3 linked regions of the Oryctolagus cuniculus genome follow. The protein of the gene in region 1 binds, or shares a complex with, the protein of each later gene. Links are inferred from orthologs where the notes say so. Each region holds a gene or a part of one and is shown in the gene's direction. Other genes may lie near its edges.

Region 1 (5,181 bases):
AGGAAGAGACGGCCAAGTCACACCCGCAGACCCGGGTTTAAAGGGACGTGTGACTTGGTTGGAAGCACACGCGTGTATTAGGTATGTTTTCATGAACACACATGCGCGCACACGCGTTTGAGTGCAAATGCATACCCAAATTTATGTAACTGTAAATGCGCACACATGGATTTCCATCTGCAGCTACATAGATGTCTCTGTGTTAAATATCGGCCAGTTTCCAGCTTCCCCTCGCCGGGGAAATACAGAAGCGTCTACCACACCACGTCTGCACCAAGATGCTCTGTAACTTCCCTGAGCTCTTTTCTGAAAAACTTCAAACTGAAACCTGAATAACGGGCCCGGTGGAGACACCGAGGCCAGAACCTGCCGTCGCCCCGCATCTCAGCCCCGGAGAACACGCGAGGGTCGGGTACAAGGGTGACATCTCCGGCCCTAGGGCAGGGGGGTGGAAGCGCCAGCGCCCCCCTCGGCGGCCGCGCGCCCCCGCCCTTGGCCCCACCCCGCTGCGGCTGCCCCCGGCGCGCCGTCCACACCCCTGAGCGCCGCTCCCGCCCGCTCGGGGATCCCCGGCGAGCAGTGCCGCCGAGGGGGAGGTGTTCGGCCGGGGCCGGGAGGGAGCCAGCAGGCGGCGTCCCCTTTAAAAGCCGCGAGCGCCGCGCCACGGCGCCGCCGCCGCCGCCGTCGCCGCCGGAGTCCTCGCCCCGCCGCGCTGCGCCCGGCTCGCGCTGCGCCCGCCGCTCCGGTTCCCACACCCCGCCGGGGATTGGCAGCCGCCGCCGGACATCAGCCGCCGCCGGCGACCCGAGCGCCCTCGAGGCGAGCGCCGCGCGGATTACTGGGCGCTGCGAGGCACCCGCGCACCGCAGACCCCTCGCGGGTTGGAGCACCCGGCCGTTGCGCGCCACAGCTCGGTGGCCTCGGCTGCCCGGGCCGCGCCGGAGCCGCGGACGGGCGCGCGGAGCGCCGGAGAGTGCGGAGCCAAGCCCGAGCGCCGCGATGCCGAGCACCTCCTGCCGGGGATCGGGGGCTCGAGACGTGCCAGCCGAGGTGTGATCGGACCCCAAGCCGGCCACAAAGGGCACTTGGCCCGAGGGCTAGGACAGCAGCGAGGGCAGAGCGCGGCCACCCGCTTCGGCGGCCCGGGACTCGGCTGGGCTCGCGGAGAATGCGCCCGAGGACGACGGGGCGCCGGAGCCGCGGCTGTTTCCACTGGCCAGCGCTGATGGGGGTGCGCTGGCGGCAGGCAGAGTGATGCGGGGGGGCAGCTCGCCGGGCATCGAGATCGCCGCTGTGCCCTTCCCCGGACCCGGCGTCGCCCAGGATGGCTGCCCCGAGCCATGGGCCGCGGCGGAGCTAGCGCTGAGCGCCCGACCCTCGCCCCCCGGAGTCCCGCAGGCGGCCCCGCGCGCGGCCACGCGTCCCGCGGGCGCTGGTGCCTGAGGACGACGACAGCAGCAGCCTTTCCTCTCTGCCTTCCCTTCCCTTCCCCGGCCCGCACTCCTCCCCCTGCTCGCTGTTGTTGTGTGTCAGCACTTGGCTGGAGACTTCTTGAACTTGCAGCCTTAACTTGCGCTGCTCCCCGCTTCGCGCCGGTGCCCGCGCCCCGGCGGAGCCGCCTCGCTGCCTCCGAGCCCCGCCGCGCTGCAGCCCTCTGCCGGGCCGAGCCCGGGACGCCGCGCCCTGCGCGAGGAGAGGGACTCGGCGGCCGGCGCCGGGAGGAGAAGCCGGAGGCCACGGGAAGGGAGCGGACGCCCGGTCCCCGCGCCAGGTCCCTGGGCCAGAGCTTTTTCCATGTGGAGGCTCTTTCAATGGACGTGTCCCCGCGGGCTTCTTAGACGGACTGCGGTCTCCTAAAGGTACGGGACGCGCGGGCCCCGGGGTGCGGGGCGGGCGCTGGGCTCGCGCGGCGGCGGCGGCGGCGGCGGACCCCCCTCCGGGGCGCGGCCGGGCAGGACGTAAACAGACCCCTCTCCGGGGCCACGTGCAGCCCAGCCCGGCGGGGGCGCCCCCTTTCCCCGCGCCCGCACGCTTCCGCCCCTCCTCCGCTCTTCCTCGATATATTATTAAGGCTGTTAACACTTAGATGATTTTTTTAAAAAATTAAAAAGTCAAAGAGCTGCCTTGGAGAGGATGGCCCCTGGGTTTCACCCGTTAGCTGCCAACCTGTACGCCGTGGCACGGCGCTGTCTTCATCAAGATTCTGGGGGAGACCCGCGCTCTCCATCAGAGCCCCGTCCCCCGTAGGAAAGCGCTGGGCGTTAGGGGTTCTCTCCGCCGGTTGCTAGAAGCGCTAGAGGGCCAGGGTCCCGCTCGCGCCGTGGGTTTCCCCGCTGGCACGTGCGCGCGTGGAGATCGGCCCTTTATGTAACGCCGGGAAGGTACCTGCGTACGCGACCGCACCGGGGGCTCGCGGGCGGGCGTGGAGCGGGGCGTCCCGACACCCAGCGGGCAGCCACCGCCAAGCGGCTTCAGAAGTCGTGGCCCTGAGTTTGCAGGGTCTGGAAGTGGTGAACTGTGGCTCAGGAAGTTCCGTGCCCCGGTTCTCAGGAAGTCACATGCGCGCGCGTTTATAGGCAAGGGAGCGCTCTGAGTTTGGCTAGGCGCGGCAGGGTGTCAGATCAAGCGGTGATCCCCCAGACTCCCTGCATGGCTGCCAGCTCTGGTGTGTGTGTGTGTGTGTGTGTGTGTGTGTGTGTGTGTGTGTGTGTATGGGAGGGGGGAGTGACAACCACTTAAGTTCAGTGGGGAGGGAGCGAGGGATAAGGCCAACCCCCAAATCAAGTATCAGACGGGCCCAGGCTGGGGTGGGAGAGAGAAAAGTGCTCTGGGTCAGGAACTTGGGGCCCTCCATTCCCCCACCCCACCCCAAACGTTAGAGCTGTGGCCGCTCTGACATAGCCAGCAAGTGCTGCAAGGCAGGAGGGCGCCCTGGAGGAGGAGGCGAGCGAGCGCAGCGGGAGCCCAGGCCGCGGGGGCGGGAAGGGAGAGGACTGGGCGGGGAACTCGGGTGACTCACGTCGGCCCTGTCCGCAGGTCGACCATGGTGGCCGGGACCCGCTGTCTTCTAGCGTTGCTGCTTCCCCAGGTCCTCCTGGGCGGCGCGGCCGGCCTCATCCCCGAGCTGGGCCGCAGGAAGTTCGCGGCGTCATCGGGCCGCCCCTCGCCCCAGCCCTCGGACGACATCCTGAGCGAGTTCGAGTTGCGGTTGCTCAGCATGTTCGGTCTGAAGCAGAGACCCACCCCTAGCAGGGACGCCGTGGTGCCCCCCTACATGCTGGACTTGTACCGCCGGCACTCCGGCCAGCCTGGCGCGCCCGCCCCGGACCACCGGCTGGAGAGGGCAGCCAGCCGCGCCAACACGGTGCGCAGCTTCCACCACGAAGGTAAGGCGAGGCGCGCGCCGCAGGGGCAGAGACGCGGGCGGGTTGCTACCCGCAACGCCGAGCACCAAGGCCGGCTGCGGGCATCCCTGGAGAGGCAGTTCAGCCAGAGCTCTGCGGATGCTGTCCCTCTTGCTTCCGTACCGACCTTTCTGAATCTGATTTTCAGGCACTGCTCGTGTGGCGGGCCAGCCAGGGATTCCCCCTTGGTCGGTCCGTACCCGTTTCCTGGCACGCAGCCAGGAGGGCGACTCCTCCTCCAGGAACCAGAGCGGAATCAAGGGATGGGGAAGACGAGGCTAAAAGGCATGCCCCTGGTCAGCTAAGCGTGCAGGAATTCCGCAGTGGGAGAAGGAGGAGGTTTGGGATTTCTTGAAGTCTGTTTGGAAGCCCTTGCTCCATAAATCTGTGTCTCCAGCTTAAGCCAGGGTTTCAAGCTAGACTGAGGCAAGGGCGGAATTCTCAGATAGTCTTGAAAAATCAAAGCCCAGGGCCCCCAAGTCTTCCTAATTTACAGTGGATCTGGGCCTGCGTTGGAAGATTTCGAATCCCTATCTAATCCCCGTGGGAGATCAATTCCACAATCAATCTTATTGTTTCCACAATGACTTTCTTGTCTCGTGCTTAAATCTGAGATAGGCTCAGAGTAGAGACAAAGCAAGCCTTCAGATAAAACCTTTTGCAGCAGCTGCCTGTCTTCCTTCACATGCATTGAAATGTGATTTTTTTTTTCTTTTATGATCCTGGATGTGGTTTTCCTAAGGTAGGATATTTCTGCTGGTTTCATCAGGAAGGCATTTAGTGGATTTGAAATGTCTTAGGGCAGCTATGGAGCTCTGTTGCACCTAACTTCTTAGCACCGTTAGTCAACTACATGCTACATTTCCATTCTTTTGTTCTTTTAAATGTGCCTTTGGCTTAATAGCTCTAAATACAGAATGCATTCCTGCGAATTCTAGAAAAGAGTGGAGTTACAGATCACAGAACAGCCACTTGCACTGACTGATGTTCCCTTTTCCTTGACGAAAACAATTTTCTCTCAGTGGGACGTTTTCAAGAACGATGGGTGATAATGAGAAGAAGTCCCAAAGGCAGGTCCCATCACACAAGCTACTTCTCATCCCAGCTGTCACAGTGAAGGGAGCTGGGAGCTGGTAGCACGTGTTCCAGCACATTTTGAAGTAAAGTGTTTTCTGAAGATCTGAGGATCAACATCTTTTTCTATCTGTTGAGAATTCAGCCACTGACAGCAGAAGTTTGTTGTTACAGGAGAAAGGTTTTCCTTCCTGTGTCTTCTGTCATGGTAACCATGAGATGACTACAGGTTCATCGCTTCCAGTTGACACAGATTAGAATAGTATTTCTGGATAAAAAGGGAATAGGAGTTAGCTGGATAGGTCTCCTCTTAACGTTCATTTTTAAGGCTAGGAAGGTATGGTGTCTTTCTCATAACTTTGAGAGGAAGATTATTTAAAAATCAAAAGCACCTGAGACTTTGACATGTGTAACTGTTTCAGCAATGAAGTGTGCCTGTGTCTTTTTCTAGAAATGGCTTGATCAAGACCTAAGCAGGCTACCCAGAATATAGTAAGTTATTTTTGGCCTTAACAGCCGGGGCTGGGTTGATCCGAAGCCAAGAGCCAGGAGCTTCTTCTGGGTCTCCCACATGTGTGCAGGGGCCCCAGGACTTGAGCCATCCTCCACTGCTTTTCCAGGCACACCAGTGAGGAGTTAGATTGGAATTGGAGCAGCTGGGACTCGAACCGGCACCCATATCACATGCTGGTGCTGCAGGCTG
Region 2 (4,479 bases), on another chromosome or scaffold:
CTGTTTGTCCTGAGGACATTGCAACTCTGAAAACACGTAGGGACCCTTCGTTAGGTCATATATGCATATAGTTGGAGTTTTATGGGGTTTTCTTGTTAGTAATTACATACTACTTTACATAATTCTTGATTTCCTGCTTTTTGTCTTACATGTCCTTCCTTTTCAGAAGGGTGTTTGTGTAGATCTGCCTCATTCTTTTTTTTTAATTTTAAGATTTATTTTATTTATTAGAGAGAGAGAGAGAGATCTTCCATCAGCTGGTTCACCCCCCAAATGGCTGCAGTGGCTGGAACTGAGCCTGTTTGAAGCCAGGAGCTAGGAGCTTCCTCTGGGTCTCCCACATGGGTGCAGGGGCCCAAGGACTTGGGCCATCTTCCACTGTTCTCCCAGGCCATAGCAGAGAGCTGGATCAGAAGTGGAGCAGCTGGCACCCATATGGGATGCTGGTGCTACAGGCCAGGTCTTTAACCTGCTGTGCCACAGCACTGACCCCCTGCTGCTACTTAACAGATGTAGTTTTCCGTGACCCAACTGTTGGATGTTACTGTTACCTTCAGTTTATCCCTGTTATTAAAAAAGTTTTAGCGAACATTACTATGTTTTATCCATAGAATACAATATGGCCTTGAGCACTTGTACAAGTATTTGTTCCCAATGGATTCCTGGAGAAGGAGTATGTGAAATTCCGACCTGTGGCCTGTTGTCCCCTCACAAAGCAGGCGTCAGCTACCCCTCCTGTGAACAGAGCAGAGAAAGACGCCCTTTCTCCACGACTGCTGGATGGTGCCAGCTGTTTAAACATCAGAGTTACAAAGCTTTTAGGATATGAGAGAGAGAAAGGGGGAGACACTGGTGTAAAATGTCGTGAAAACACAAGCTAGGCTCTTCGTTGGTGGCACTCACCCTGGATACCATCTTGTTTCAGTGACACGAATGAAGTGGATGTGCCCCTGAACACCAGGGTGGGCACCAAGCGCTACATGGCTCCCGAGGTGCTGGACGAGAGCCTGAACAAAAACCACTTCCAGCCCTACATCATGGCGGACATCTACAGCTTCGGCCTCATCATCTGGGAGATGGCCCGCCGCTGCGTCACGGGAGGTAGGCGGTGGGGCGGCCTGCCTGGTCCTACTGGTTTGCCCATCGTTGAAGAAACAGCAGCTGCTGTGGGGTAATTTAGATGTCACGTCTGTCAGAGTCCCCAGGAGCGCCCCCCAGATGCCGTGATGGCTCTAGGACTCGGCACGTAGTCATTCTCACGGCTGAGATGTACGGTGAGAGCCACAAGTCTAACTCGGACAAGGAAAGGGCCGGGGGCAGAGTCAGGATGCCGAGCCCCTCCCACTGTGGACCGTGATGACGTCTGTCATGCACTGTCACACAGGGCACTCACAGCAAAGCTGGTGGTGTGGGCATCCTCCTCCTGGCCACTCCCAAACCCCCGGCTCCCAGAGGGAAAGCAGGTGTCGAGTGCGTACCGTCCAGGAGCAGCCGTGCCTTTACCACAGGGAGAGTTCTGTGTGCACGCAGGGCGTCGTCTTGCCTGCAGGCTCCTAGGCACCAGCCCAGGGCGGCCTTGCAAGCAGGCTTCAGTGAGAAGCCCGGCGTCAGGCCTGCTGTTGTCTGAACTCTGGTCTGCAGCTCATGTCTCTCCACTGTGGGACAAAGTCAGCCAGAGGGCTAGACACGCATTTCATTGGTAGGAACAGCCTGCTAGTCGGTGGTCCTGTGTATGGTGTAGAGTAAGTGCAAGGGTTCGCCTTGCCCCCCACCCACGGAATACTGGCGTTTCCTGATGGGCTGTCACAGTTCTGGGGTGCTGGCTGGAGGGGAGGAAATAATGGGCATGAATAAGAGAAGCCCGTGCACTCACCGTTCGAAGTGGACCCCCAGGCCCTAGCTGTCTTCCTTGGGTAGGAGCTGTGTGGCCCTGTAGCTCTGCAGGTTGGCTGCGCAGTGTGGCCACGGTGTCCCTCTGCCTGCAGGGATCGTGGAAGAGTACCAGCTGCCGTACTACAACATGGTGCCCAGCGACCCATCCTACGAGGACATGCGCGAGGTCGTGTGCGTCAAGCGGCTGCGGCCGATTGTGTCCAACCGCTGGAACAGCGACGAGGTGAGTGCCGGCTCCCCGCAGAGGGGGCGGGCTTTGGCGCCCACCGCCCTCTCTGCTCACCATTTCTTCTTTGCTTCCAGTGCCTGCGGGCCGTGCTGAAGCTGATGTCAGAGTGCTGGGCCCACAATCCAGCCTCCAGACTCACGGCGCTGCGGATCAAGAAGACGCTGGCCAAGATGGTGGAGTCGCAGGATGTAAAGATCTGAGCTACGCGCTGCAGGCGCCGCCCCTGCCCCTGGGCTCGCCGGGGCCAGCATGGGAGGAGGACTCGAACCTGGCTCACGCCCGCCCTCACTGCACCTTCCCAGGCTGCTAGCGTCAGACCCTCCCGTATCCTAGAAGCCGGGAACTCGTAGACACTTGGTTTCTATACGAACAGCTGTGTTTTAAATGTGGTATTTGATGCCTTTTTTTATTGGGTTTCTATGAACTGCATAGACTTCAGTCCTGATGAGTAGGGCTCCAGTCAGACTCTGGGTGCTGAGCTGCCTGGTCAGCAGGTGGTGCTTTCTGTGAAAGCCTCCGGAAGATAGAGTTCAGCAGAGGTGGAGAAGCACACGCTTGCCTTCTACCCGAGGACGTTCCATCTGTGCGCTCCGCTTGCCTTTGCAGAGTGGCCCCGAGGGGGCGCCTGGCCTGCCTCCGTCACCCGCCAGCCGCCCTCGGCTGCCCTGGGAGCTGGAAGACAATGACGGACGAGTGCACAGGAAGGTGCTGGTGGCTGCTGGTTTGTGCTTTAAAAATGCAATTTCTGACCGAGAGTCCCCTTCTTTAAAAGCCTTGCGGGCTGGAGAGCTCCCCTACCCGTGTTTCTTCTTAATGTCAAAGTCAGTGTCAAGGCCAAAAGAAGTCTAAAGTGCCCATGAATCTGGACTGTTTTCCTGCCACCACCCTTTTTTTTGGGGGGGGTATTTTGTTGGGAAGAGCACCCTCCCCAGAGCTGGAGCCTCCAGTGCCATAAGCTGCGTCACCTGGAAAGCACCTGCTGTGCGTTGGCCCGCAGTGCCAGTGCCGCTGACTGCCTTCTGTGTTCCTCGTTCTCAGTGACTTTTAAAAGGGAAGTTATTTATATTTTGTGTATAATGTGCTTTACTTGCAAAACCCCTGCTCCCTGACAGCCTGCGGGGGTCACATGTGTCCGTGTATTAGCAGCCAGCTCACGGGGCCCTCAGCCCACCCCCCAGGGGAGACACTGGGGAGAGCGGGACTATGGGGGAGTGTTCAGAATGATCGCGGCCACGGCAGGGCTCCCCATGCCGGGCCCTGTCAGCCCTGGGCAAAAATGTGTCCACTAAGATTGCAATGTTCCTTTATGAGAGGAGTCTCTTGATTAGAAATGTTGTCTCAGAGCTGATGGAAATCCATGCGCAGCTGTTAATTAAGCGTGTTGTAGACAACCAGATGGTTTGCGGTTTCTGCGCCCTGCCGTGTGCAGACACTGGAGAGTCGGGAGAGGCTCAGCACCTGGTCAGCACCCGTGAGCACGCAGTGCGCCTGTCACTCAGTAAAGTGGTGCCAGTTTCCTAGATGCTTTCCCGCCTCCAGGAACGGTGCAGGTCCTGCAGCTTGCTACCGCGTAACACCTCCAGATAGCCACCTCCTGCTCAGAACACACAGCTCATGGGTGCATCCCGTGAGATCGACATAGCATCCACGCGGGGATATCACACACGGTCAGAAAGGCTTAAAGTAAACGCGGGCAAATCACAGCACGTGTCCTTCCGTGTCGTTGGAAGCTAAAACGCACATGTGGGTGTCTACACAAATTTGAAGCTTGCCTTATCCGTCTGGATTGTTTAGTAAGTTGCATCTCACATAATCAAAATCGGAAGTGTTTATTAAGATAAGTAAATTTGCATATTGGCAGTACCAAATAACTTGCCTTTTTGCCTTTTCAGAATGTTTCCCCATCTATATATCCAGAAATATATTTTCATCGAGATTGCCACGTGACGTTTTTGAGCCCTGGTTAACCTTGGTTAACCTTGGTTTGTGTATGACTTGATAAACTAAAAATTTTGGTCATCTTAGTATAGGAAATTTATACCGAAAGGCAAATTTCATTCTTAGAAATGCTAAAATGGTATGTGAAGCAAAAAATTGCAGTGTATGAGGTCACAATGATAATGTTTTTGATTAGTGTGGACTGGTGACAGTGATACTGAGAATTAACCCGAAAAAACTTGTTCAACAAAAACATTTCCTAGGATACGATCTTCTTTAAAAAGCAAATGCTGCCAGATTTGGAATCCTGAAATCTAAAAAAAAAAAAAAAGTTGCATGAAACTTAACCATTTTCTGCTCTCCTTCTCACTCTTACTCTTAAATTTGAAGTTTAGCTACTAAGTGAAGCAATTACTCTG
Region 3 (4,793 bases), on another chromosome or scaffold:
GCAAGAGTTCCTGTGGTGGGCAGGACCCTGGGAAGGGAATTCTAGTGGCGGCCTGGCTAGGTAGGGTTGAGGGGGACACTTTGGCCGCACCGCCCAATTGCTATACTGGCCAACTAAGTGCTTTCCTCCCTTGGCAGGTGATAAGCTCCTTTTGGGGGTATGAGGATGGAGGGGAGGGGCAGGTTGAAAGGAAGAGTCAGCTCTTTGGGGGAGAGGAGGTGGAGTGACACTGGCTGCCACTGTGGGACCCCCTGCTTCCCGCTCCAGGGACTTCTGGTGAACGCGCGGATCATCCACTCCAAGCTCCTTTTCTCCAGCTTTTTCCACGCTCCAGTCGCCACAAAGCAAACTGGGTTCGGGAGAGAAGCTTAGATTCAATTCCTCATCCCGGGAAAGTTAACTGGAGGGGTCGGGCCAGTGCCCAGTGATCGCTCGAGAGAAACAGCTCCTGAAAGAGAGGGCATCGCGCGCAGGTTTATTTAAGAATCGCAGGAAGGTAAGGCTGGAAGAGGAAGAGAGCTAGGGCACGACAGCGGAAACGAAGGCACAGAGTCCACCAAGGAGGAGGTCGCGGGAGGCAGAAGGTGCGGCACTTGTTCTTGGGAAAGTTGAAGGGATTGGGAGGGAGCCGCTGGGTCTTTTGCTTCCACTGAGGTCCCGGAGAGCTTCGAGAAAACAGCCAGAAGCAGAGCCGGGCCCTTCAGCACACGCAGACGCGCACAAAATGACCCGGGCACAGCAGGGGAAACTGAGCCAGGCAGAGTGGGCTGCAGCCCGGAGCCCACCAGCGCCAGTTGCAGGGCTTGCAGCGGGCCAGCAGAGGGCGCGCCGCCCCCAGGGAGCCGAGCGGCGGCAGCGCGGAGCCGGGCGGGCGAGGGGAGCCGCCGGCGAGCCGGACGCGCCCCTGCGGCTGGGCCACTCAGGGTGCAGGACCCGGCCAAGGAGGAGGAGGAAGAGGAGGGTGAGGAGCGAACCCCCATCGTGGGCCCGGGGGTCAGACGGGCAGGAGTGCTTCCTGGGAATTACATCACGCTGCGCAACGCTGCGGCTCTCGGACTCTCGGGCGCAGTGTGGAGGGAGGGGGCGGGGAGGGGGACCCTGTGCGCGCGTGTATTGGGGGAGGGGACCCAGCCCGAGCCCTGGAGAGAAGCAGGCGAGACGCGCCCGGGGAAAACGCTCCGTGCACATGGAGAAATTTCTTGCTCCGAACTGCACGGAGAATCGAGCTGCCGGCACCTCTCCGCTGCTCCCTTCCCAGTGCAAAGCACCCAGCTAGTAAGGAGCAAGCCCCCTGCCCCAGCTCCACCGCGAGCACCCCCAAGAACCGGCCCTGCACCCTCCAAGCCGGCTCCAGCGCCTCAGCGAGCTTTCCCCGGGACTGGCCCTGGCGGGGCGCCTAGAGCCCCAGTTGCATTGCTCCAGAAGAAAGGAGGGGGGCGGTGCATTTTGCAGGAGGAGGAGAAGGGGGGTGGGTGGTGGGGGAGAGAGAAAATTGCGCGGAGACCTGCCAAGCGCCACCGCCGCCGCCGCCGCCGCCGCCGCCGCCGCCACCGCCGCCGCCGCTGCCGCCGCCGCCGCCGCCGCCGCCGCCTGGGAGCTCCGGCGGGCAGCCGGGCTGTCGGCTTCCCGGGGCATCTGGGTCCGGCGGGGCACAGCCCTGGGCGCTGCCGAAGCCGCCGCCGCCGCCTCCGCGGCGAGTGCAGGCGGCTACCCCCCGAGCCTGTGCCGCTCCGGCTCCTCGGGGGTGGAGGGGTGGGGGGTGGGGTTGTTGTTTGGGGGGAAGGAGGGGGAGGGGGCAACGCCGAGAGAGTCAGTGGTTTCCATGGTGATGGAGCTGAAAGTGCAGGAAATTTAAAGGCTTGGACCCTGCGAGACAGACAAACCGGTGCCAACGTGCGCGGACGCCGCCGCCGCCGCCGCCGCTGGAGTCCGCCGGGCAGAGCCGGCCGCGGAGCCACGAGCAGGCGGAGGGAAGTGCCCCAGGAGCCGCTCGGCCCGCGGCGCTGCGCACAGCGGCCCGGCGAGGAGCAGCGAGAGGAGCGAGAGGAGCAGCAGGAGCAGCAGGAGCAGGAGCAGGAGCAGCAGGAGCAGCGGCAGGAGGAGGAGGAGGAGGAGGAGGAGGGGAGAGCGGCTCGTCCACGCGCCCTGCGCCGCCGCCGGCCCGGCCAGGCAGCCAGGAGCCGGCGCCCCCCGAGCCCCGCGGCCGCCCTGGAGTCCTTTCGGATGCCCCGCCGCGGCCGGCGTCCCGAGTAGAGCGCGGAGAGGAGTTGCGGCCAACTTGCGTGCCTGTTCTCCGCCCCGGCGGGAGCCGGCGCTGCGCGAAGAGCTCTCTCTCCCCGCGGCTCATGCTGCCCGCCCTGCGCCTGCCCAGCCTCGGGTGAGCCGCCTCCGGAGAGACGGGGGAGCGCGGCGGCGGCGCCGCGGGCTCGGCGTGCTCTCCTCCGGGGACGCGGGACGAAGCAGCGGCCCCGGGCGCGCGCCGGAGGCATGGAGCGCTGCCCCAGCCTGGGGGTCACCCTCTACGCCCTGGTGGTGGTCCTGGGGCTGCGGGCGGCACCGGCCGGCGGCCAGCACTACCTCCACATCCGCCCGGCTCCCAGCGACAACCTGCCCCTGGTGGACCTCATCGAGCACCCGGACCCTATCTTTGACCCCAAGGAGAAGGATCTGAACGAGACGCTGCTACGCTCGCTGCTCGGGGGCCACTACGACCCGGGCTTCATGGCCACCTCGCCCCCCGAGGACCGGCCCGGCGCGGGCGGCGGGACGACGGGGGGCGCCGAGGACCTGGCCGAGCTGGACCAGCTGCTGCGGCAGCGGCCGTCGGGGGCCATGCCGAGCGAGATCAAAGGGCTGGAGTTCTCCGAGGGCTTGGCCCAGGGCAAGAAGCAGCGGCTCAGCAAGAAGCTGCGGAGGAAGTTACAGATGTGGCTGTGGTCGCAGACCTTCTGCCCTGTGCTGTACGCCTGGAACGACCTGGGCAGCCGCTTCTGGCCGCGCTACGTGAAGGTGGGCAGCTGCTTCAGCAAGCGCTCGTGCTCCGTGCCGGAGGGCATGGTGTGCAAACCTTCCAAGTCGGTGCACCTCACCGTGCTGCGGTGGCGCTGTCAGCGGCGCGCGGGCCAGCGCTGCGGCTGGATCCCCATCCAGTACCCCATCATCTCCGAGTGCAAGTGCTCGTGCTAGAACTCGGGGGCCCCCTGCCCCGCACCGGGACACTTGGTCGAGAGCCCCGCCGACGCCCCCCTACGCCGCCCCCAACCAGTTCCACCACCCTCTAGTGAGGGGTTTTTCAATGAACTTTTTTTTTTTTTTTTTTTTTTTTTTTGGCTACAGAGACCTAGCTTTCTGGTTCATGTAATGCACTGTTTAACTGTGTAGGAATGTATATGTGTGTATATACGGTCCCAGTTTTAATTTACTTATTAAAAGGTCAGTATTATACGTTAAAAGTTACCGGCTTCTACTGTATTTTTAAAAAAAAGTTAAGCAAAAGGAAAAAAAAAGAACAGAGAAAAGAGACTTATTCTGGTTGTTGCTGACAATGTTAACCTGCTATTTATATTCCAGTGCCCTTCGCATGGCGAAGCAGGGGGGAAAAGTTATTTTTTTTTCTTAAAGTACAAAGAGAGGGGAGAACTTTTGTAGAAGGACTTTTTAAAAGCTATTTTCCATTCTTCGGAAAGTGTGTTGGTTTTCCTTGGACCTCGGAGAAGCTATAGAGTTCAATGTTATTTTACAGTTATTGTAAATATAGAGAACAAATGGAATGACTAATCATTGTAAATTAAGAGTATCTGCTATTTATTCTTTATAATATCCCGTGTAGTAAATGAGAAAGAAGTGCAGAGCAGGATTAAAGAAAACCACTAAAACCGACTGCGCTCCGCACTGCGATTCTCTGTGTTGGTGATTGATGGGGGTGCGGGCGGGCGGGGGCGGGAGGGAGCTGCCGCGGTGCCCACCGCGCCGGTTGGGAGAAGGGGTGCATCCCCTCCCCTGGTTACGACGGAGGTGACGGCTGAGTGTTTCAATGGGGGGGGGCGCCTTATTCTCAAACCCCTCTTAAATATCACGTGGCCTCCGCCCTGTCTCCCAGCTTTTTTCCCCTATGTCACCAAAGCTCAGGGCCGTAGCGACCTCGACACCCAGCCGGCCCCCTGGAGCTGACCCCAGGCTGGGCCGCGGGGCGGGGGGAGGGTGGGCGGCCGCTTTGTCCTGCCTGACAGGCCCTTCACAATGGGGACACGTGTCTTTCACACCTACCCTGGGGGCGGAGTGCCGCTGAAACTTGACCCCCGAGGAATGGGGGGGAGGAGGGAGATCAGAGCGCGCCCACCCAGATCCCGCCACCCCTCCCGCCGCCCCCCCCCATACACACACCTCAATATCCAGCCCATGTTAACTCTTTGCACACCCGGAAGCTACAGTGGTTGGAGCTCAGAGGATTTCTGAAATCCACAACATCCACAGCCTCCGGGATTCTGCAGGTCTGAGCCCCCCGGAATTCCGGGGCCCTCGGGCCGGAGTTATGGGGGCGGGGAGGAATAACCGGGGAGATTTGACACTCAACGTCCTCCTCCCCCTGGGACCTAAGCAGGAACCTGAGGTCCAGGGTTTTCAGATTTGGGTAAGACTCGCCACTTGTGGGATCTGCTAGTAGGAAGGGGTACGCCTCCCCGCCCCCCCTCCCCAGCTCCGGACGCCCACTGCACTGGGGGGCGGGGCGGGAGAGCTCAGAATGTGGATCTCAGAGCTCTAGGATTAGAACCGGGTCGAGGGCGCGTTGCCCC

What was found.
Region 2: the proteins of BMP2 (region 1) and BMPR1A are in contact, whole or in part, in a crystal structure (PDB 2QJ9), measured with the Homo sapiens proteins. The link is inferred for Oryctolagus cuniculus from reciprocal best matches to the Homo sapiens genes BMP2 and BMPR1A. Residues at the interface, in NP_001191.1 of Homo sapiens: Lys297, Pro330, Phe331, Pro332, Leu333, Ala334, Asp335, His336, Ser339, Asn341, Ile344, Val345, Leu348, Asn350, Ser351, Val352, Asn353, Ser354; in NP_001393490.1 of Homo sapiens: His66, Cys67, Pro68, Asp69, Ile77, Thr78, Asn79, Phe83, Ile85, Cys100, Met101, Lys102, Glu104, Gly105, Phe108, Gln109, Asp112, Arg120, Ile122.
Region 3: the proteins of BMP2 (region 1) and NOG are in contact, whole or in part, in a crystal structure (PDB 7AG0), measured with the Homo sapiens proteins. The link is inferred for Oryctolagus cuniculus from reciprocal best matches to the Homo sapiens genes BMP2 and NOG. Residues at the interface, in NP_001191.1 of Homo sapiens: Trp310, Asp312, Trp313, Val315, Ala316, Pro317, Pro318, Gly319, Tyr320, Ala368, Ile369, Ser370, Met371, Leu372, Tyr373, Lys379, Val380, Val381, Leu382, Lys383, Asn384, Tyr385, Gln386, Met388; in NP_005441.1 of Homo sapiens: Ile33, Arg34, Pro35, Ala36, Pro37, Ser38, Asp39, Asn40, Pro42, Leu43, Val44, Asp45, Leu46, Ile47, His49, His199, Arg204, Arg206, Pro219, Ile220, Gln221, Tyr222, Pro223.

What each region holds. Positions count from the first base shown.
Region 1 is NC_091442.1:31,667,701-31,672,881, forward strand, and holds the start of BMP2 (bone morphogenetic protein 2 precursor), read left to right. Parts: upstream 1-1,797; 5' UTR 1,798-1,859; intron 1,860-3,036; 5' UTR 3,037-3,043; coding exon 3,044-3,386; intron 3,387-5,181. UniProt on the Homo sapiens protein: Growth factor of the TGF-beta superfamily that plays essential roles in many developmental processes, including cardiogenesis, neurogenesis, and osteogenesis. Induces cartilage and bone formation.
Region 2 is NC_091446.1:78,229,697-78,234,175, forward strand, and holds part of BMPR1A (bone morphogenetic protein receptor type-1A), read left to right. Parts: intron 1-925; coding exon 926-1,101; intron 1,102-1,985; coding exon 1,986-2,116; intron 2,117-2,196; coding exon 2,197-2,322; 3' UTR 2,323-4,479. UniProt on the Homo sapiens protein: On ligand binding, forms a receptor complex consisting of two type II and two type I transmembrane serine/threonine kinases.
Region 3 is NC_091448.1:32,238,230-32,243,022, forward strand, and holds NOG (noggin), read left to right. Parts: upstream 1-1,811; 5' UTR 1,812-2,487; coding exon 2,488-3,186; 3' UTR 3,187-3,879; downstream 3,880-4,793. UniProt on the Homo sapiens protein: Inhibitor of bone morphogenetic proteins (BMP) signaling which is required for growth and patterning of the neural tube and somite. Essential for cartilage morphogenesis and joint formation.